Linked DNA regions of Alligator mississippiensis. The protein of the gene in region 1 purifies or fractionates together with the protein of each later gene. This does not show direct contact. Links are inferred from orthologs where the notes say so. Each region holds a gene or a part of one and is shown on either strand. Other genes may lie near its edges.

Evidence for each region.
Region 2: the proteins of FKBP5 (region 1) and protein argonaute-1 purify together in Homo sapiens (affinity purification with mass spectrometry; 6 studies listed by BioGRID and IntAct, with this or other methods). This does not show direct contact. The link is inferred for Alligator mississippiensis from reciprocal best matches to the Homo sapiens genes FKBP5 and AGO1.
Region 3: the proteins of FKBP5 (region 1) and CDK9 purify together in Homo sapiens (affinity purification with mass spectrometry; 10 studies listed by BioGRID and IntAct, counting the BioPlex papers as one, with this or other methods). This does not show direct contact. The link is inferred for Alligator mississippiensis from reciprocal best matches to the Homo sapiens genes FKBP5 and CDK9.

The regions. Positions count from the first base shown.
Region 1 is NC_081837.1:36,311,566-36,318,492, forward strand, and holds the start of FKBP5 (peptidyl-prolyl cis-trans isomerase FKBP5), read left to right. Parts: upstream 1-3,922; 5' UTR 3,923-3,974; intron 3,975-6,927. UniProt on the Homo sapiens protein: Immunophilin protein with PPIase and co-chaperone activities. Component of unligated steroid receptors heterocomplexes through interaction with heat-shock protein 90 (HSP90).
Region 2 is NC_081829.1:8,966,155-8,974,059, forward strand, and holds the start of protein argonaute-1, read left to right. Parts: upstream 1-4,888; 5' UTR 4,889-4,972; coding exon 4,973-4,997; intron 4,998-7,905.
Region 3 is NC_081835.1:57,370,807-57,377,717, reverse strand, and holds the start of CDK9 (cyclin-dependent kinase 9), read left to right. Parts: upstream 1-3,894; 5' UTR 3,895-3,991; coding exon 3,992-4,083; intron 4,084-4,345; coding exon 4,346-4,427; intron 4,428-5,132; coding exon 5,133-5,223; intron 5,224-6,911. UniProt on the Homo sapiens protein: Protein kinase involved in the regulation of transcription.

The DNA of each region.
Region 1 (6,927 bases):
CTAAGATGCTTTGGCAGTAAGTACCTAGCTCTACATAGATAACATGTTCCTGAGTACATGCCTCTATGAAGTATCAGAGCTGTGTTATGTTCTCCCACAGTAGCAGCTGATACAAATTCTTACCCGATATTACCCTTTGGTTGACAGGCAATATCTTTTGCATAACAAGGACTAGAAGCTGCAGCACAGTTAAAATTATATTAATGTTCTATCCCAAATTGCCCAAAGGCAGGACATTTAGGTTTACACAACTGGCAATCTCAGCTCGAGAGAGGCCCAGCACCTGAATAACGGTGTTGAGTTAAGACTAAGGGACACTGGCAGAGCTGTGGGGTACACTGGATTGTCTGGGCTCACAGCTGGAATAGCAGAGGCTGTTTGTGGGTCACGGCTGGCATACACTGGGGGAAAAGAAGGGGTTGGGGTGACAGTGTTGAAGAGGTGCTTTAGTATGTCAGACTTGAGGCATGCTGCCAGAGCTGGATGTGAACCTACAGCAAGAATGGGAAGGGGTGCTGTAGGTTGGGGAAAGATGCACTGGTAATGTTTTATGCAGATACTTGCCAGCAGATGAAGTTAGTGTGACTAATACTTGACTTTCTCATCTACTCTAAATTCACTTATAAAAGCCTAAAGAGAAAAAAAACAAGCAATCGGAGGCTTCTATTTTGCTCTGAATCCAACCACTTTAGCATAAGCATTGCAGAGGTCTCAGAACAGTGTGATCTTACATAATGCCTATGCTGCAATACACAGGCACAAGAAGGTGAACTGAGGACAGAGTGGCTGCCTTAGCTGTGAATTTCCTGGCTTTTGGGAGTTTACGTCAGTCTCACTGTTTTAATGTCCTTTTTAAATTTAATTTCCTTCTAAAATAGTACTATAAAATTAAGGAGGGGAGAGAAATAGGGGCGTGATAAGCCCCAACTTTTAAATAGCTAGAATTTGTTACAGAACATCATCCAGATTGAAAAGTGTTCTTTAAAAGAAAATTCCATCACATTCATGCCAAGTGATCATTTTTAAAGAAAGTAGCTGCCATTTTTGTGGTACAGTGTGAAGCCAGTGTGTGAGCTCCTCCCACTGACTTTCATGGTATCCAGTGGAGATATGGTGGAGGACTCTGGCCTCACTCATGCTTTCTGCACAAAATAAGTGGCCTGTTTCGCGTTGGCTATCTTTGAAGCCCGCAATAATGGCTTGTTAAATGGGAAATAGAAGTGTTGGGGTTGGGTCAGGGAAACGATGTAACGTTTAAGGTTATAGGAGGATTTAAAATGAAAGTTAAAACAATGCTGGTAGATTTTGTTCCTCGTGTATTTATGAATGTCCAGAGTTTCCCCACTGCATTTCAATTAGGCAAAAGCTGTGTTAAAGTAACTCCCCCTTACACTGAACCAGCTGCTACCTTCTAAATTTCAGTTTCAATTTTAGCCTCTCATTTCCAAGGCATTCTGTTGGTCTCTAAAGGCAAAAAAGCTAACATGATTCAACATCACATCAAAAAAACAGACACTGCCAGAAAGAGATTAATAACATTATAAATCCACTGACAAATAAGCTTGTCCTTAGGTCACCTATTGTAGCAATAAAAGGGGGAAAGCCAGGTCCAATTGCAGATTTATAGTAAGAGGTGGTCCTTTGCAGATGAAAAACAAATGAAAACGTCTCCTTTGATATTTGTACAGCTCTCAAGACAATCAGGTCCTGACCATGGTTGGGGCCCTGGTTGTCTTATAATACCAATCAAGCCAATTAAAAAGGAAATAAAAAGGTTGGAGGGTTGGACTTTCAAATGCTCCGTGCCCAGGATTGGAGCCAGGCTTCCAAGAGTTTAGGGCTGGTTTGACCATTTGTCCGCTGCTGCCAGTAAACCAGAACATGAGACTGAAAAAATACAAGTAATTTAGCTACTTTCCCTGTCCTAAACTGACAGCTACTGAAACATAAAGTGCAACACTAGTGAGAAGGTATTACATTACACACAGCATTCTGGGTTCTAGCTACAGTGCTGTTTCCAATACAGTTTAAAACAAAAGTCTTAAGCCAAACAACAGCCACAATCATTACAATAACCATCATTTCCTCCAAAAAATTCCTTTCTAGCGCTAACTTTTAGAAAACTACAAGAGGGTTTGTTTTTCTGATACAATGCTAAAAATAACAGCCAAGGGAACAAACCAGAAAACTATATGTTCTGATAACAGGGCTAGTCTAATATTAAACCCATAAAACAAAGAAAAGAGGAGTTTAGTTAGTGTTTAACTCCCACCCCTGCTGTGTCTCTAAACAGTGGTCAGAATATGCCACATGCTTCGAAAGCCAGGCATCCACCAAAGGGGTGGACTGAGGACAAATGGGTTTAGCTTGAAGATAGAGAATACCTTGACACAGACTTGCAGGCCTCAAGTAGAGCAACTCTTTAGCACTGCTGGGCTAGTGCAACAGAGTTAGGTAGGGACTGACTCCCTTGCAACTGGGGCGACAGAGCTGCTGAGTCAGTCTGTGCAATTATGTTCAGAGTTGAAACACGCAGCCCACTTTTTCCCTGAAGAGCTCACTCACTCACTCAGCACAGGGAGTGTAGAAAACCTGGCCCCAAATGTGTCACGGGGCGAGGGAGCTGCTGTGACCTGAGCCCCCTGGGGACATTGGGAATGTTGGCCAGCGCTCTCAGGTACAGGAGTCTGCCCCCCGTCATACGCACTTCCCCAGGCAAGGATACCCTGTGCGGCAAAACAGAGGGGGAGAGGGGAGCAGGAGAAGGGAAGGTAGGAGCCAGTCTGCTTTCACTGTTGCAGCAAGCAAAGGGTCAGAGGAGACAAAACAAATAAATAAAAAAGCCAGTTGTAGGAATTTGTGGGTTACATTTTCACATGTGGGTTCACTGGTTTTCTTTCCACTCTTGTGGGGGAGGATGAGAGACCCCCACACCAAGCAAAACTGAGCAGTGGAAGGAGTGACTCTGAATAGTATTATTAATAGTATTAGTAGCAGTAGCATTACTATTTTTGTTATCATTTTAATAGTACTATTATTAGTGCAATGTCGTTTGTATTACTATCATCACCATCATTACTGTTGTTGTTGCTGTTGTTATTTATTTATTGTTGCATGATGATAATTACTATTACTGTTATTGCTGTTATCATCCTCTTCCTCCTCCTCCTTGTTTTGGCCATTATTATTATTATTGCAAGATGATGATGACGTTATTGCTGCTGGTATCATCATTGCTGCGGCTGTATTTTTATTGTACCACGATAATGATGATGATCGCTGCTGGTATCATCACCGTCATCGTTGTTGCTATTATGACTATTTTTATTTTCATTCCTTGTACCTTGAGGAGGAGGAGGACTATTATTGTTGCTGCTATTGCCATCATCCTTATCGCTGTCGCTGCTGATATCATTTATTATTTCTTATTGTGCGATGAGGAGGAGGACGGCCCCAGCAGTAATCCTCATCGTTGCTGCTGCTGTTGTTATTATGGATTAACATTTGGATCGCATCCTGATCACGGCTCGGATCAGCATCAGCTCTGTTGTAATGACTATTTCTCCTTACGGGTATCCACGACCACTTTTGTTGTTATCGCTACTCTTCTTCCTCTTCCCCTGCTCACTGCTGGGGGGGCGATGATGGCTCTTCCCCGCTCCCAGAGCCGCGCTGCCCCGCGGAACGAGCGGCTACCACTCCCGGCCCCGAGGCGCCGCGCAGCGCCGGGCACATCTGGGCAGCTGCAGCCAGCCGCGCGCTGCCCCCGGCCTCGAGCTCAGCACCCCGGGGGGGCGGGGGTAGAACACCCTGTTGATTTGCATGCGGGAGCAGAGATGGCCAATGAGCAGGCGGCTCGCCCGGACGGGCAAGGCTGACTGCCAATGGACGCGCCGAGGGGCGTGGCCTCGCGCAGGGGACCCGCGGCCGGCGCGGGAGCTCAGTGCATTCGCAGCGGGCAGCGGCGGCGGCAGGTAGCGGGGCTGGGCAGCGCGGGGCGGGTGGGGGATCTGTTCCGCTGCTTCCCTGTGGTGCAGGGTGCGAAATGCAAACATGTGGAGCTCTTGGTTCCCAAATGCTACCTCTGATTAGACCAACTGGGGAATTTTAACTACAAAAAAATCGCTTTTTTGGGGGTGGGGGTGAGTGTGTGCACGGAAGCTGCGATGTGTGGAGGGGTCTCGAGGCCGAGCCCCAGCGCCTTCGGCCCTGAGCGTTGTGCCTGGTCTCTGGACATCAAGGGTGGCAGGCAGGGCGCCCCAAAGCCAGCTCCAGCCCTGGTCCTGGGGAGCCCCGGGGGCTTCGTCCCTGCGAATCCGTCCTGGGTGTCCGATGCCACCGAGGGGCATCCGGCTGCCCGGGGGTAGATGCGGGGCCTGCCCCCCTGCCTGGCAGTGAGCGAGCAGGGGGGGATGGATGCCTTTGCTGTGGCGCATCTTGTTCAAGTCGCAACAGTGTCATTTTTAACCTGGAATGTTTAATTTAGCAAAAGTCCCCGCGTCCTTAGTCTTGTTTGCCCTGGGTTTTTGTAAAAATGAAAAGGTAAATGTTCTGCTTTGCTACAGTTTTACCTGTTTGCAAACAGGACTTTCCCCCTATCTGCTCCGCTGCTCTGCTTTCTGCTCCCCGGTCTATCTGCCCCTGTGCTGCCTGCCCCCTCCCCGCTCTGCCTCGTGCCACACACGCGCTGCCTGTGACACTTGTGGCACATATGCTGGAGCTTGGCCACCCATTTTAGACCGGCTGATTGACAACTGGGCTGCATGAACCACAGGCAACCTTTTACCCACTGCTGAAATGGTGTCCTGCGACTTCCTATAGCTGCGCTCTCTAGGGCACTGGAGCAGAGACCCCTTGGTCTGCAGCAGTGATACACCGCACAAAGGGGGGCTCTTTCTTTCTTTTTTTCTTTCTTTCTCTAAAAGCCAAAGCTTTGTCACAAAACGAAGCTCTTATGTCAAGACACCAGTATTTTTCCTAATGATACCTGCCTAAAATATCCTGCGAAGCGTAAAAATAAAGACGTGAGAGAGAAGTTGGAGCAATTATAATAAATTGCACAAAATAGACATGATTTTAGGTTCTTGCTCTTATTTTCTCTCTCTTAGTCAATAGGCAAAATAGCTGTCGTGAAGCTGCTATTTTCCTGCTGGTAAATGCATACTCGGACAAACATATTGATACCACAAAAGAATATCATTTGCATGATGGGATGTAAGAGCTTTTGACGAATAAATTCAGAAATAATGCATGTCTTGAGTTGATGAATTCCAGTCCACATCTCTAGTGATGTATTCAAGATGCCTTTCGACGCAGCTTTGTATAGTTTTGTCTGCATGATGAGATTGTCTGTGTTTAAATAAACAGGGCTTTGCTAATGGTAGCTTACGTGGTGTAGGGGAGGCCTGAAGGTGCCAGTTTGTGAAGTGCCATCCCATCAAATGAGCAAACTGATGGTATTAAAATATTGCTTTCTCATCTGTTTTGGAGGATAGCTGATTTTAAATCAAGACTTTAAGGTTGGCTGGGAAAGATGCTGAAACTTGACTTAAAACATTTTAGCCAGTCGTCATGGGGCAAGAGCCGTGTTCAACCCGAGTATAATAAACAATTGAAAAGAAAGCTTTTCCCGTGTCCCGAAAATATGCTGGGGAAATTTTTTGAATTCTTTTTTCCTCAAACCATGTGTGAATACTGCTCCATAAGTATAGTCATTGCTCCATAAGTATAATCACGGCAGAGGAAACAAAGAAATGTTTTTAGCCACAGGAAGAAGAAGGCAGCTGGCTGCTATGGGCAAACTTCATAAAGATGCAGTAGGCTTGAATGAAAATTAGGTAGAATATTAATGAAGGAAAGGACTTTGCTGTCAATCTGCAAGCCCTAGTTGGATTGCTGAATGTGCTGGCTTGTAATCTTTAAGTGTGTGTATATTATAATGTTTGAAACAAAATACCTCTTCAAGTACAAGTATTTGAGGAGGTATAAACATCGCCGAGGCAGAGGAAATGATTACCACCATGCACAATGGAATTTCTAGGGGAAAAAAATGAAAGTGAGCAAGGGAACAATGTACTCGCAGTACTGCGAGTGCTAGGAATTTTACTGGACAAAAATGTAGTCCCAGTTGCTGAGATATTGTGTAATGTTATATAGGAAGTGATGAATGAGGGCAGTGAACACTTGGGGAGATGGAGAGTGAAGGGGAAGGAAGGACAGAGTGTTAGAATAAGATCTTGCACTTAGTATAGGCATAGATGTGCCTTGACTTTACAGTTACTTATTTTACGTTCTTGGGGGCACTTGTGGAACGTAGCTCGAACACTGGAGAGAACTGAACAGTCGTCTTTTGCTGCACAGTATATGTATTGAAGCCTCACAGGCTACACCAGTGATGTGTAGTTCAGTAGTTATTGTGGATGGCGGGGGGACTCGAAAGTCAGACCAGGTTTTTGTTCTCTCGTCTAGCACAAACTGGGGCAGTTGCTTTGGACCATATCAGGCTTCTTGTCTGTAAAATGGGTATAAATACTCATTTTGTTTTGAAGTACTTTAAGATCCAGTGTTTCTCAACTCATGGGCTGCAAAAATATTTGAAAGGGTCACAAACTTTAAAAATGGGTTCTCCTTTAAAGGAGAAAATTGTGGGAAACCGTGGTTTTTCCCTTGCAGGCTGGTGGTCCAACCTCCATGGGGCTGCTTGGGCCACCCCCCCATACCCCACGTACCCACCTGCTGCCCCACACACTGGGAGGCAGGGGGCAGTGGGTCAGGAGTGAGGGGCACTGGGTTGGGACTGGCCATTGATCTTTAGAAATGGGTCCTGGTAGAAAAAAGGTTGAGAACGACCGGTCTAGCAGAACTGTAATGGAACAAAGCATTACAAAGGTCTCAAGTTGCGGCAAGGGAAGTTTAGGTTGGATATTG
Region 2 (7,905 bases), on another chromosome or scaffold:
GAGGGAAACTGGGTTCCAGCAGTGAGTTGCTATTGGGACAAAAGGGAACATGGCAACTGCAGAGAGCTGGAGACAGGACACATTGGAAGTAAGAACAACCATCTTCTCCAGGTTCTTCTGTCCTTTGAGGTCTTCCTTGAGGTATGACATGATCCAAACAGCTTGTATTTCATGGGTTTCTGCTTGCTGTCATCTTTACTATCATCACTGGAGTCTATGTAGCTTGGTTACCATGGTCCAAAGCAGGCTAAATCCATCAATCATTCCTCTGGATTTCCATCATCCCTGTTGCTCTTGCATGTAATTATAATCTATGGATCAGGTCCTCGGTAGTAAAATAAGCATTCCACAATTTGGCAGCAAATACCCCCAAAGCCTTCCTGGCAGTACAGGTAAAGGTAGGGACAATTCCAGTACAATCCCTTTTCCAATAATGGTTTCTACTATGGTAGGATTGGTAGAAATTGTACCTGAGAACTTAAATGACACAAACCCAACGTGACACCATGTCTGGTTAACTGAAACTTGATGATGTTGCTGGTGTCACCACTGCCCTTGGCTAATGCAGCTCTGTCTGGTATGATTACCCTTCAGAAGAGTGAACTTCTTTCTCCTTTAACAATATCAGTGCTAGGTCTGTTTGTGTAGGTGATTAAATCCTTTTAGAATGATACAGAACCTGGTACTCACACCATTTGTATTTGAAGTTGCCATAAGAGCAGCAGCTCTTATGGCTGGAGTCATAAGCATAAAATGGATTAGCAGCTTTGGCAACATATTTAATGGAACCACACTAAAGCTTATCTGTTTTAAAAGTTGGTCAGGTTCAAGGGTGATCTTTCACTGCTTAAGGGCAACAGAGGTGGTCCCCTCTTCTCTCCAATTAATCCTATGACTGGTGTTTCTGCACCTCTAACTACTGTCCCCCCACTTTGTCATATGCTCCCTACTCCAGCCAACAGGATTCCAGTCTTACCTCCTTGCTGGGAAACAGCAGCTCAAGGACTAGTTTTTCAGACTGCACCCAGCACAGCAATCATGGATCTGTAGTTTAAATAAAAGGCTAGATTGTCAACCATTAATCAGATTAGCGTCAATACTGGATCATTCTAGTTCAGCTGTCATCACAACACCAGTGATTTGAGGGTCAAATGTGTAGCTGAGGCTTCAATGGTTTGGGGATGCCCACCAGACTGGCCAAAGCATCATCACTTGATGAATTATTCCAGTCAGTCTCCTTTGTTCAGAGGGCTCCTTCTAGCTTTCCAAGTTGAAGTGGAAATGACTGGATCACTGATTATTGCTAACCCCCATTTCCTAAGACACCACTATCTGTGTGTTCATCTGTCCATCTATATTCAGAAAGAGTAGGCAAATCTTTTGAATAGAAAATGTTTTGACTTGGGGCTGCCTGAAATACAGAAGTCTGTTCTTCACCCTGCATGATACTGCTTCACTTCTTCCTTAAGCTGCAGAGGTCCATGCTCTTCCCCCTCTGTTGAAAGAATGTATTGGTTACTGGTACTGATTTCCATGAGGGTTAAACTGAGGAACAAGGGTGTATTACGGAGTCGGTGGTGGAGCCAGGAATGGAACTCCTAAGTCCTGACTCCCCACCCCTTGCTCCACTTATACCAAATTGCAATGACATATTTTCAATTAGTTTCTACCCATCTGAGGACTGACCTTGGAAGACATTTGTGAGCTATGAAGGTTCCTTTTCTAGTCACTGATAGCCAATGCAGTGGGGATCGACGAGATCCACTTCCACATAGTGATCCCTGGTAATGTCTCTGATGGCCAAGAGCTGCCAAATTGATAAAAATGCCAAAGCCCACAAAGATAAAGATACAGCTATAACTTCTGTCGTACAAAATAAGCTAATGCAGGGATGGTGGTATGCTGCCAAGGAGATGCTGAACACAACAGACCCTGCACCATAATTGTTACTTTATAAAAAAAGGTTCTAAGGCCCCATTTCTGCCATCTAGTATTGGTTGAGGGCAGGGTCTGCCTTGAACTCATGCTCCATCTACAGGAACAAGATTGCAGGATCAGGGCCTGAGACCGTGATGAGGTCAGGAGGAAGATGTCTCTGGTGGGAAAATGCTGCCATGATCAGCTCTCAGGGTTTCATTTCCCATAGTTTGACTCTCAGTAATTACATCAGCAATGGGTTCTGCATTTATGTGCAAGGCAGAGGAACAAGTGCACAGTTGTGAACACAAACACACATCACTCCCTGCACTGGCTCTTCAGATGCTGTTGCTGCTACCGGCTCCAAGGAACTTTCAGCACTGAGGTATGCTCAGAAATCCAACTGCAAGATAGCTTTCTCTTGCTGCTGGTGTGTAAATCACTGATCTGGGTAACTCCCATTAATCCAATCAGGAGTTTTCTCCATAAATCCTTCCTATGCAAATAGGAAAACAGGCCCTGACTACTGACCAGACTGCACTGAAATAGATTTCCTAGGAAGGTTGGGTCATCTGTTACTGAAACAAACATCTGTCCAGATGTTTTAAATGAAGCTGAGCCTGCCCTGGGATAGGAAGAGGGGTTAGAGCCCCTTGCAGCCCTATTTCCTATAATTCTAAAACTAGCTTGAAGCAAACAGACCTGTTCTGAGTATATTTTCCTTTGCTAAATTCCATGACCCATGATTTAAAACCAAGATGAACGCTGGTCCTTATTTTCAGTTATTTCCTGGGCTGCATTGAATTCACCTGAAATGATGCCAGCGAGCTCTGTGCTGCTTATGGTAAGGTCACACATAAGGTCATCATTCCAAATAACTCTGAAAAGTTATTTAGGGAGAGCTCATTTAATATTTTGGTGCAGAAACTGCCTTTGGCCAGTTGTGTTAATTCAAATCCAGACCAGCTTCTGGTTCTACTGGATCCTGCCATCTGTGACATGCAAATTTCATCATAAGTCTCTCAAGAGAGCATGTTATTCTTTTACATGCTTCTCAGTCCTGTCCTTTAACTGCAGGATAAGTGCTCCTTGCAATTTTAGATCACTTCGTGTTAAGGAAAATGAGTGATCACCATCCATACCAGTGCAAATCATGAAAGGCCACCTTAATCATCCAGCATGGTGCTACAGCAAACACCTTCTGCTTCTCATTTTTGTGACCCCTTTCCAACCTGGGCATCCTGGAAGTAAAGCCCTCAAGGGAACACAATACAAGCTATCACTGCAGCAGCCATGGAGACTGCTCAAGCTAGAGTGAGGAAGAGTGAACTGCATTTCTCCTTGTTTTAAAACCTGGTGAGGCCCTTAATGTAGATTCACCTCCGTTTCCCTGAGGGGAGGATTGCCATTTGACCTTCCTTTGCCTAAGGCACTGATACACCAGGTATCAATGTTCCCATGTGGGAACATCGGCATCCTTTTGCTTAGCTGGGTCCCTGTCATCTCTGGTTGGCAGTGCTTTGGTGGGATGGGAAGTGAATCGGTTCTGAAATGGGACGTGTGGCAGCTGAAGGCATCTAGTTAGATGCAGACACCAGAGTCTCAGGCCTGCAGTTAGACGGGGACCCCCCCTTCCACCCATAGCATCGGCTGCTATGCAAAGTCAGGACAGATTCACTTCCTAAAATGCACTGCTTGCAGCATCACAAGATACTCAAGTTTTCAGAGACCTTCGTCTGCCACAGCTTTATGACTGCAGTGCTCTTAGCCACGACACCAGCAAACGTGCCCCTGCTGTCCTACCAACCAAGGGGTCTGCCATGTGCCAACAAGGCGCATACCAAAAAACTGAATAAAAGCTGCAAATAAATAAGCACATCCCCTACTGTTCACTCAATGAACTGGCAGTGAAAATGAGTCTCAAAATAAAAAAAATCCTCTGCCAAACAGGCTATAATCCCCCTAGGAAATACAAACTGTTCCAGTTTCTGTGAGCTGACAGTGCTGTAGGGCATCTTAGTTACTATGGCAGTCATTTAATGGGTGGCTCGGTAACATGAGCATAAGGACATTTTGATCAGATGTCCCGGTCCCACCTGAAGAAACAGATTTGACCTAGAGATACGGGAAGGCGCTTCCACGTCCCCTGCAGATTCAACGTCACACGACTGCCTCCTCCCTTTGCGTTACTCTGCCCCGGCCTTCCTGCCGCAGCAACCATCGTTACAGCGGGATGGTAACGACCGGGGTGCTCGATGAGCCACTTAATGACTGCTTGTTTTCAGAGATGGACGACTTCCCCCGGGGGAAAATGTGTGCCTTGGGGCTCCGTCTCTCGCTCGCTCTCGAGCTAAAAGAAACGCCGCAGTCGTGGGATGTTTCCAGGCTGTCCCGAGCGTCCGGCGGGGGGGTTCAGCAGGCTTTCCCTCGAGCGCAGCTCCTCGCGGCGGTGGCCTGGGACATGTCCACATGCGAGCTCGCCGTGCGTGGATCTATCCGAGCTCACGCGAACCCTGAGGCGGGTTCGAGGCGAAGGGCTTTAGAAACACAACAGCATGCACGTCTCTCCATTTCTGACCCCACGCACAGAAAGACAGGAGGCCCACGGTGGTGCTGGGCAAGGGGGTGCAGCCAGGCATTAGTGTGGGAGCTGGCTGTTCTCTGCTTGCCCAGCTCAAGTTGACTGAGCAGGTTATTTGGGGATAACTGCCCAGGCAGCCTGTCCATACACTACACTGCATGCACTGCATGCACTGCACTACACTGCCAGAGCCCTGCAGCAGCTGCTCAGCCTCGCTCTGAGCCCAAGATGGCGGCGCGCGCTGAGGGGCCGCCCGCCAGGGGGCGCCTCCCCCGCCCCCGCCTTTGTTGGCGCCCGGGCCCGGCCCGGCCGGCGGCGCTGATTGGCTGCTTGGCCGCGCCTGCGCGCTGGGGCCCAGGCGTGGAGGAGGCTGCCTAGAGGCTGCGGCGGCAGCGGGAGGTGTCGGTGTGGCCGCCCCCGCCCCCGCCTCCGCCCCGCGCTCAGCCAGGCTCGGCCGCCGCCCGGGTGGATGGGATGGAAGCAGGACCCTCGGGAGCAGGTACCGCGCGAGGGCCCCGGGCACCGGGTGGGGAGTGCAGTGGGGCAGGGGGTGTAGTGCAGCGCGGTGTAGTGGGGTGCAGTATTATGCAGTGGGTCGGGGGGGTGGCGGTGCAGTGGGGTGGGAGTGCAGTGCTCTGTAGTGGGGTAGAGGGCGCCATGCAGCCGGGCAGTGCAGTGTAATGGGTAGGGGGCACGGTGCGGTTGCGAGTGCTGTGGGGTGGAGGTACACTGCATTGGGGTGGGGGGTGCAGTGGAGTCAGGGGTTGCAGCCGGAGATGCAGTGTAGTACAGTGTTCTCTAGTGGGTTAGGGGCACTATGCAGTGGGCAGTGCAGTGCAATGGGTAGGGGGTGCGGTGCGGTCGTGAGTGCTGTGGGGTGGGGGTACACTGCATTGGGGTGGGGGTGCAGTGGAGTAGGGGGTTGTAGTCGGAGATACAGTGTTCTGTGGTGGGTTAGGGGTGCCATGCCGTGGGCAGTGCAGTGCAATGGGTAGGGGGTGCGGTGCGGTCGTGAGTGCTGTGGGGTGGGGGTACACTGCATTGGGGTGGGGGTGCAGTGGAGTAGGGGCTTGTAGTAGGAGATGCAGTGACTTGGGGTGCAGGGTTATGCAGTGGGTTAGGGGTGCTGTGGGGTGGGGGTGCAGCAGTGAGTGGACTGTGTTGCAAGAGTGGGGTTTCTCCAGGGAGAGAGGGCTGCACTGGGGGGAGGATAGTGCAGGGGCTGTACCTGCTTCACCTGCTGCAGGAGGGGGTGCAGGATGTAGCTGGCCCAGCAAGGGGTTGCAGCTCTGCTGTGTGGGGTTAGAACATCTTCTAACCCCTAAACATTCTAACCCCTAGAACATCTTCTAACCCCTCTAAAAGGAGGGGTCCTTTAAGCTGCCTTCCCAGCTGGGAGTTTTGTGGTGCCCAGTGAGGGCTTCATGGGGTGCTGGGAACAGAGCTGGTTTTAGAGGAGGGGGCTGCTGACTAAGCAGGGAAGAAGACATTGTGCTATTTCATGAGGTGGGGAGGGGACCTGGGGGGCTTGGGCCCCTGTGAAGGGCAGTGCAGGAGTCAAACAGGAGGTGCGTGTCCTTGCTGAAGGCTGGGTGTACACACAAGTTCGACTGCCACAGTCCCGGACTGTCACAGGCTCTGTTATGGCACCAGACCTCTGAAGTGACTTGTTTTTCAAGGGGTGGCAAACCTATCTCGCCCCCCCCTGTTTCTTCCCTACCCAGCCTCTGTCTTTGTGTGCAAAGAAGATGCCTCGGGTAAGAGGTGGCAAAAAGAGCCTGGCCTGGAAGTGGGAACGATAACGCTCTCTTGTTAGGACACAAGGGCCAATTGCTGCTGCTTTCTGGTGACAGAATGAAGCGGTTTCTGTCTCTCTGAGGTTTGAGGCATGCGCAAAGCTGGGGGTTTCTCTGCATGCCTGACAGCTGGAGAGGGGAGGCAGGGACTGTTGCTAAAGAGATTCATCTCGGTACATCAACATTGTTCTCCCCCCAGCATGCCCAGTTAAACGGGAACAGCTAACAAATGGTCTCATCGTTGGCCTTTTTTCAGACACTCAATAATTCTTTTTAAAACTGCCCCCTCCAAACTTGACTTGGATTTCTCTTTCCGTACGGTTCTGCAGATCATTTAATTCTCTTTAATGCGGCATCTGCGAACAACTTGATCTCAAATGCAGTTCTGAGTTGTATCGTGTGGCTTGAAATAGAGGGAAGGGGTTGACAAGACCAGGGGGAGAGGGGGAGTCCTTGGCTTCCATTGGACTCGTGAAGCCAGGCTGAGCCTGATGCCTGTTAAAATGTGATTGCATGGGGTAAAGTAACTTTCACTTGGAAATACTAAAGTGTGAGTTGGTGTGCTGGTGCTGTAAGTGTGATGCAAGAACATCTTCAGCTGTGTCTGGACTGGGGAGAACGATGTGTCAGTTCTTAATACTAGCCTATTCATGTTCTGCCTGACATGACCTAGAAGTGAGTAGGAGTCTGGGTTTTCACTCCTGACTCCACCAGCAACTTGCTGTGTGGCTTATGGGTAAGTCGCTCCTCCTTTCTCTGCCTCCAGTTTCTTACCTGATAAAGAGGGGCAGGGCCGTACCTCCCATAGAGGTGCTTTGAGATGTGCTGAGGAAAATCTGTGTGTCAGGGTAGACCTGCATTCTTTTCTTCTGCTGAGCCTGTGTGTGATATAGCTGGGGCTGGGGTGAGTGGGGCCACGGCCCTTTCCCCTCCCCCCACACACTTACCTGTTTGGGCAGGGGGGCATCTATGCTGATCGCATAAGAGTGAACTTACCTCGCATATAACGAATTATAGGTCTAAATATGCTCATCGCATAAGAGCGAATTCGCATATAAAGAACCCGCATAAATCGAGGGGAAACCTTTAATGGCCGGGACTGGGATGGGGGTGGAGTGATGGTTAACATTAAAATCAAAGCAGGATCTTGTCCCTAGGGCCATCATGTCTTGTCTTGATCTGAAAGAGTGTCTTGTTTTGGGAGGTGGGATAGGTAATTCCAAACTGGCTATTGGTATAAACCCATGAACAGTTTGGTCTGGACATGTACCACGTTAACTGAACGGTAATGCCTGTTGGAGCAGTACCCTCTGGTTATCACAGTGCTGCAGTAACTTGGTGCCTAATGTACAGTGTGCCGTGGGCACCTTTGTGAAAACCTTACTGGGAGAAATGCGGTTCTCAGTGTTACTCTTATTGCTGTTGCAGTGGTAGACATGTCTCAGCTGCACTTGACCCCAGTGAGAAACCCCCTTGGCACCTCTCCAGGATTGTCTTGGAGGGGCCAGCTCTTTACAGTTTCTGCCAAGTTTGGAAGCTTCAAGCAATGTTGATGCAGTGTCAGAGACAATGGGCTTTGTGCACATCAGGCCTGCGTGGGTCACTGAGATT
Region 3 (6,911 bases), on another chromosome or scaffold:
GCATGCACACAGCTCTTTGTCTCCGCAGAGATAGGTGAAGCCCCTGACATCACAAGGACCACCAAGCCAGACAGTCGGCCTTCACGACAATGGGTCAGCAGCTACCTGTGTCCTTCACGGTACCCTCTCCAAGGCACGCACGCACTCTCTGTCATAAGTAGATTCCTTCCCAGCACAGCTGAGCGTGTTTTATCTGCAGGCTTCCAAACACGAGACAGATAGAAAATGTTGTCTTCTCTAGTTTACTTGGAGCGAAAGGGGAACACCAGTAAACATCAGGCACAAAGGTTTCCAGCAAAGGCCATGATGGAAAATTTTCCTCTAAGCGACTTGCCTGAGTCTCTGACCAGCCCCAGGGCAGAGGCAGGATAGAACAGGAGTGCAGACACCCAGTCCCCCTGCTCTTGCTAGAAGGCAACTCTTCCTAGATAAGGCCTTGTCCACACTAGAAATGCTCTGATTGTGTAGCTGAATAGGCCTGCTCTCCTGTTCCAGCAGTTCTCTGAATGAAATAAGCTGTACCAGTTGGATATCGGCATCGGGATTATCCAGAAGCAACATTACTACAGTGGCAGAAGCTTCTGAGTAGAGCTGATCTAATGTCAATGGTGCACTGTATCCTCTATCGCGGGGGTCAAAAGGGTTTTGTACCACTGGTGTGATGGCAAATCACTGTGTAGGGGGGTGCTCGAGGGGCTGTTTCAGGAAGCAAAGGACAGAGAAGACTTTTGCCGGCACAGAACATCCCAGCACAGTGCAGAATTGTGGAATCCTTTTCTCTTGCAGGCAGGTGTCCCCATAGCTGGCGTCATAGAGACTGGTGCAGCCTGTTCGGACACATCCTATCCATCCCCTGGGGCCAGTGCAGGATTGTTCCCTCCACTGTGGATTGCAAATGCTGTGTTTTGGCAGGAAAAGAAGCTTGGGGCAGCTCGCTCCGCTGCCACGTGAGCTGGGTGGGAGTTTCCTTTAGGAAGGTGGAAAGTTATTGTATTCCTTGTGCTGCCTGGAGACTCATCAGGCCTGTTGATTAGAAGTCACTCTCCTTTCCAAACAAATGAGTTAGGACTGACAGGGCTGCCAATATGGTTTCCTAGCGGGGAGGCAAAATCATAAGACGATCACCTCCATACATGGGGCTCTGAGTCCATGGGGCGGGAAGGGACTTGCTGCAGTGGGCAGAGGGCTGTTCCTTCCCTGAGCAAATGGTAGAACAGAAAGGAAATGTGGGGTGATTGGTAAGGATCACTTATCCCTGCTGAGACTGGATAAAGCTGCTGCAAAGTTGTGCTGCCCTACTGGAGAGCTGCAGCCCTGTGGCAGGGGCTGCAGGCTTCCCTCAGTCCCTAACACAACCTGCCCCATTGCTATGTGGATCATCTGTTGAAAGACATGCAGTGCCCTAGCCTGGAAGCTGGGAAATACCAGCAGGTGGTGCCCAGAGTGAAAAGGTACCACTCGGGCAGGCAGAAGGTACCACAGAGCACAGCGTGCTCAGGGGTCAGGCAAGCACAGAGCCTGTGTCCCCGGGACGAGGGCCGGCATGCACCACACTCATCCAGATGACAGAATGGAAAGTCCCAGAGAATTCCTCTCTGATTGATGAATGAAATCTCTTCCTCAAAAATGCTGACTAGCAAAAGGACTGACCAATGAATCTGGAGAACAGCTCAGGTCCCACTTCCAAGATCTTTGTGTTCCTGGAACCCAAGGATATCTGAATCACTTGTGTCAGTTGGAACCACTAATGAATCTAGTGCCATGAGGCTGGGAAAGGCATCTGGGGGGAGGAGGGGGTTCAATTTCTGTTGCCCTGAATTGAAATGAAAATGGTTTCCTCCTTATCTCACTCCAGCTAAGGGGCAGGAAATGGATATAAATCAACATAGTGGAGTCAGAGACACAAGCCTTTATGCCTGCCGAGGCTCTGGCCACAGAAAACATCTGACACAGCTCCCAAAGGTCAGAGAAGAGACAGGGGACAGGGGAGCCACTGGGGCCAGTGTCCAGGCATCATAGAAGGGCTGAGAGGAGCACTGGACGCAGCGTGGGAGGGCTCAGAGAACAGGCAGGTGTTGCAGCAATGGATGCTTATGAAAACTGACCCAAGTGTTGGGCTCTCTCATGGGCACTGTCCAAACTGGCATCTGTTTAGGGCTCTCTCCACTGAGACTCATAGAGGCTATCAGTAAATACTGCTGGTGTGACAGGCTTTTGCTGCTGGTACTCTAACCTGTCTCTTTCTAGCTTACAGACCTGAGAATCATGGAAGAGAAGTGACTCGCCAAAGGTCACACAGTAGGGCAGTTGCAGAGCCAGTTCTGACTCCAGTTGCCTGCTTTACCCACTAATCACTGAGCCCGTCCCTCTCCTTGCCCCATCAGCTGTTTTTCCCTACATCTGTCTCCTCTGCCTACCTCTGTCCCTTGAAAGCTGGGCTTGGCTTTGACGTTTATCTCAGGACTGCTGTAAGAGCTAATCCTTTCTCTGCCTGCCTGCTGCGAATGATCTCTTCTCTTAGCTGTCTCGGAGCCCCCTGCTGGCACTCTGCTTATGTAGCCACCTGTGGCACCCTGACGGCTGCTGCTGCATCCGAGCACGCTGCCAAACTGTAACGTGGGCAGTAGGCAGATGTCACGGCGCTGGCCTCCTGGAGGGGAGCACGGGACGCTATGGAGGTGATTTAACTCAGTGACGCAGCTGGATGCTGCACTGATGCAATGCTGATGTGCCGGATAGAACGAGTGTCCTCTGCATGAGGGCATGAGGGGGTGTCACGGCGTGAAGCAACGATGCTGAGACACAACAGGATGGTTCAGTGTGGCACTGTGACTCAGGATGCGTTGCTGTGGCGTGTAGGCACAGGATGATGATGCAGAGGTGCCTGCGATTACTATTCCTTCTTTTCCTTCCCAGACTGACAAGAGGCCAGAGCCTGGTATTAGGGCCTTGTTACACCTTACACTATGAGCTGCACAAGTATAGATGGGGGGTCAGTGCTGGCTCGGGTTTGGAGCGGTCACACTTCAGGCCGGAGGGGGCCTGGAGGACTGAAAGGTAAGAACCCCCCCTCCCCTTCTGGGCTTCCCCCAGTCCCCTGCCTCTGGGGCTTCCTCCGTTCCCCCCTTGCTTCCCCTCACTAGAGCACTACTTACTTGTAGGTAGGTGGCAGAGAGCAAAGCCCTGCCCTGGCGCTCTGAGCCCCGCGCCACCACGAGCGCTGCAACCCAGCTTCAGGTGCTGACGCGTGGACAATCTGGGGGTTACGAGCCCCAGGAGCCACAAGGCCCTGCCAGACCCTGGGCAGCCCTGGCAGAGGTCCTGCTGGTGCCGCAGGCTCCGGTCTCTCAAGGGTCGGAGGAGAAAGCCCACGACGCTCCCATGAGGGATGAGTATGGCAGGGCACCCGGCGCCCGTCACTGCAGCTGGCACCCATGGGTGAGCGCACCTGGCAATGTACAATGCACTGAGGCTATGCGCAAGCCTAAAGATAGTGGACAGGAGGCCATACACAGCTGTCCCAGGGCTGCTGCAATGAAACAGGGGTGACGTCACAGGGGCGCCTTGACGTCACGCCGCCGTGTGACGACACCCCGGGGGACGCGAGTGCTGGGAGGAGGGGGCGGGGCAGGTGGATGCTCCAGGGAACAGTGCGATGACGTAACGTTCGCAGTCGATGACGCAACCGACCGCGAGGCCACGCGTGCGTCACTCAGCGAGCACGCGGGCCAATCACACACGCAGCGCGGGGCGGGGCAGGCGCGGATCCCCGCCCAATCCGCGCCCGCGTGACGGCCTCTCGATCCGCCCTCTTCTCGCGGCTCTTCCAGAACCATAGCTCCCAGCGGGCAGCGCGGCGGCGCCCCGGAAGTAGTGGAGCATGGCCGGCGGATCCGGAAGCCCCGGGCGAGGCGCGGGCGGCAGCGCGCCGGCTCTGAGCGAGCAGGCGGCCCCGCGGCGGGCCGGGCCGGGCGGCGGTGGCAGCAGCAGCATGGCCAAGCAGTACGACATGGTGGAGTGCCCCTTCTGCGACGAGGTGTCCAAGTACGAGAAGCTGGCCAAGATCGGCCAGGGCACCTTCGGGTGAGCGCCCCCCGCCCCGCCCCGCCGCTCCGGGTACAGGCCCCGGGAGCCCCTCCTGCCCCCGCCCCCCCGGCCTGGGGCCTCCCGGGGCTGCGCGAGCCCGTCCCCGCTGCCCTCCTCGGGGCTTCCTAGGGGCCAGCTGCCCCCTCCGGGCCGAGCAGCCGGCCCTGCCCCGGGTGGGGGGAGGCAGTTGGGTCTGGCTCGCCCTCGCTGGGCTGCGGCCACTCGCGCGTGGCTGAGCGCGGCCTCTTTCGCCCCGCAGGGAGGTGTTCAAAGCCAAGCACCGGCAGACGGGCAAGAAGGTGGCGCTGAAGAAGGTGCTGATGGAGAACGAGAAGGAGGGGGTAAGGCAGGCGTGCGGTGTGTTGGGGGCGGCTAGAGCCCTGTAATACCCCGGGCAGAGTTGTTGGGAGGGTGCAGGTTGTTCGTGGGGCACTTTGCTGCTGGGCTCCGTAGCCACGTTGGTGTCTGTCTCTGCAACGTGTGAGGCCGTTTCCATCCAGCAAGCGTGGTGCGCTCGTATGCAGGGGTAAGGTTGCTTGGTGCTGTACCTCTCTCGTTAGCCTCGTGGCTGCCCTTGCCTTGCGGGACGGACCCCAGTGAGACACTGAAGGGGGTGAGCGCTTTGCTGACCTGGCTTGTGTCCACCACGTGGGTCTGGTCCACCTGTCAAGTCTGAATTGCCAGCAGTAGGGTCAGAAGCAGAATAGATCTGCACCCTTTCCCCATCCCAGGTTAAACTGGGTGCTGTGGAATAAAGGTCTGTTCCCCTGAGGATTTTCAGCACCCGCAGCATTCACCGTCTTTGCTAAGAGCGCTCGGCAGCTCTCGCATCAGTCTTGGTTTGCAAACATGCCTGGAAGGCACCGAGCACAGCTTTGGGTTTCCACCAAGTTGGGCTCAGCGTCTCGCTCTAATTGTATTTGAGGTCTGTGTTGTTTCTGTTTGAGTGTTTCCGCTTTGTCTCTTTAATCCTCTCAAGGGCTCCAGACCAGTCTGATATGATCCTTTGCCATCCTAACCGGTGGGCCTCATTTCTCCTTTTTCAGTTTCCTATCACAGCCCTGCGAGAGATTAAAATCCTTCAGCTGCTCAAGCATGAGAACGTGGTGAACCTTATAGAGATCTGCAGGACCAAAGGTATTGTTTTGTTGTTCCCCTCTTGGCTCATGTCAGCTGCTTTCTGGAGTATCCAGTAACATTGGCCTGCTGGGTGACTGGGTGCACATCGCTTTCCTCCCTTTGCTGCAGTTCCCCTGTCTGCACAGAGAGAGCAATGCTATTGACCCTTTTTGTAAAGCAGTTCAATCCCTACTGGTGGAAAGTGCTGTGTAAGAGCTAGGAGGTGTGCTATTTGTAATGCATCATTCCTACATGAGATGTAAGATAGGAAGTCCAGGGGATCTGGCAAGGCATCAGCTTGTACTTGGTTGTATTGTAACTCATGTAGATGAAGCTTTCATAGACTCCTTTGAAATATTGTGCTACAACAGTGAAAGGCCTGCGTACATATCTGTCTTTTGTATACAGGAAAGCTCATGCTTTTGTGTGTGTTGCCTTAAAATCACACTGGAGAGAAACCTGATGTAAATTTCTTGTCCTGAAATTGATTTTTTTTTTCCTTTTAAAGCATCAATAGATATAAAATATATCTATTCTGTGTTGCTTTTGCAGCAGTAGCTGGATTTATTTAGCACAATACAGGGTGACTATTTAACTCTGGTTTTATAATAGTACTTTGGCTCAGTGTGTTCACTTACTGTTGCTTGGGGAGGAACTGCCTATACTTTAGTAGATGAATTCAATGGCTTTCCATTTTCACAGTGCAGTTCCATCACTTGAATGCCTGCTTGTTCTTTGACTCGTTGTTTTGTGGACAGTTTCTGGCAGGGAGGATGTTGCCTCTTCTCTACAGGACCTAGCATGTAAGGCCACTGGAAGCGAGTAGATAAAAGTTAATTTTTAAAAAGTTTTTAAAATTTTTAAACCAAATATAGGTTTTTGATTTTTTGTTTTCTTTTAAAAATAAACCTGTTTGACATCCTGACAACTTTAATGGATGATGGTAAGCATATGTGCTAAAACTGCCAAGGCTTAAATAAAAATTCAAGCAGTGCCTGCCAGGTGTTGAAATTGTAAAGAAAATCATGCCACTGAAATGATGGAAATCTCTGGTTTAGCCCCTGGAGTCAGTCTGCTAAAGTGCCAAATCGGTTTTTGATAGCATTTCATTCTCTGCACCTGGAGAAGAACATTGTTCGTTTTGGTTCATTCAGCTAGTTCAGTTCACTGACTTGTTTTCAGTTCCCAAATCTGGGCAAACAAGCTTTCTTTCCTATTGCTTTCTTTCACTCTATGGAATGCCAAATAAGGCACTAGAATGAGATGCTAGTTTTTAAATGTTGTAGGGCATAATGGCCAGAAATAATCGCTACTGATTCATAGTTAGTTTACACTAACTAGCTATTGATTCGTTGACCAAATGGATCTTGTTTCTCTCTTTTTTTTTTTTTTGTGCCCAGCAAGTCGGAGGGGACCAACAGACATTGGGGGAGTCCCTGTTCCCCCGAGCACTACCAGGAGTGACTAGAAATAACGGTCACAAGCTGGCAGAGGGTAGATTCAGACTAGACATCAGGACGCGCTGCTTCAGTCAGGGTAGTTAGGATCTGGAACCAACTTCCAAGAGAAATGGTGCTGGCTCCTACCCTGGGGGTCTTTAAGAGGAGGCTAGATAAACACCTTGCTGGGGTTGTTTGACCCTAGTACTCTTTCCTGCCATAGCAGGGGGTCGGATTTGATGATCTGCTCAGGTCCCTTCCGACCCT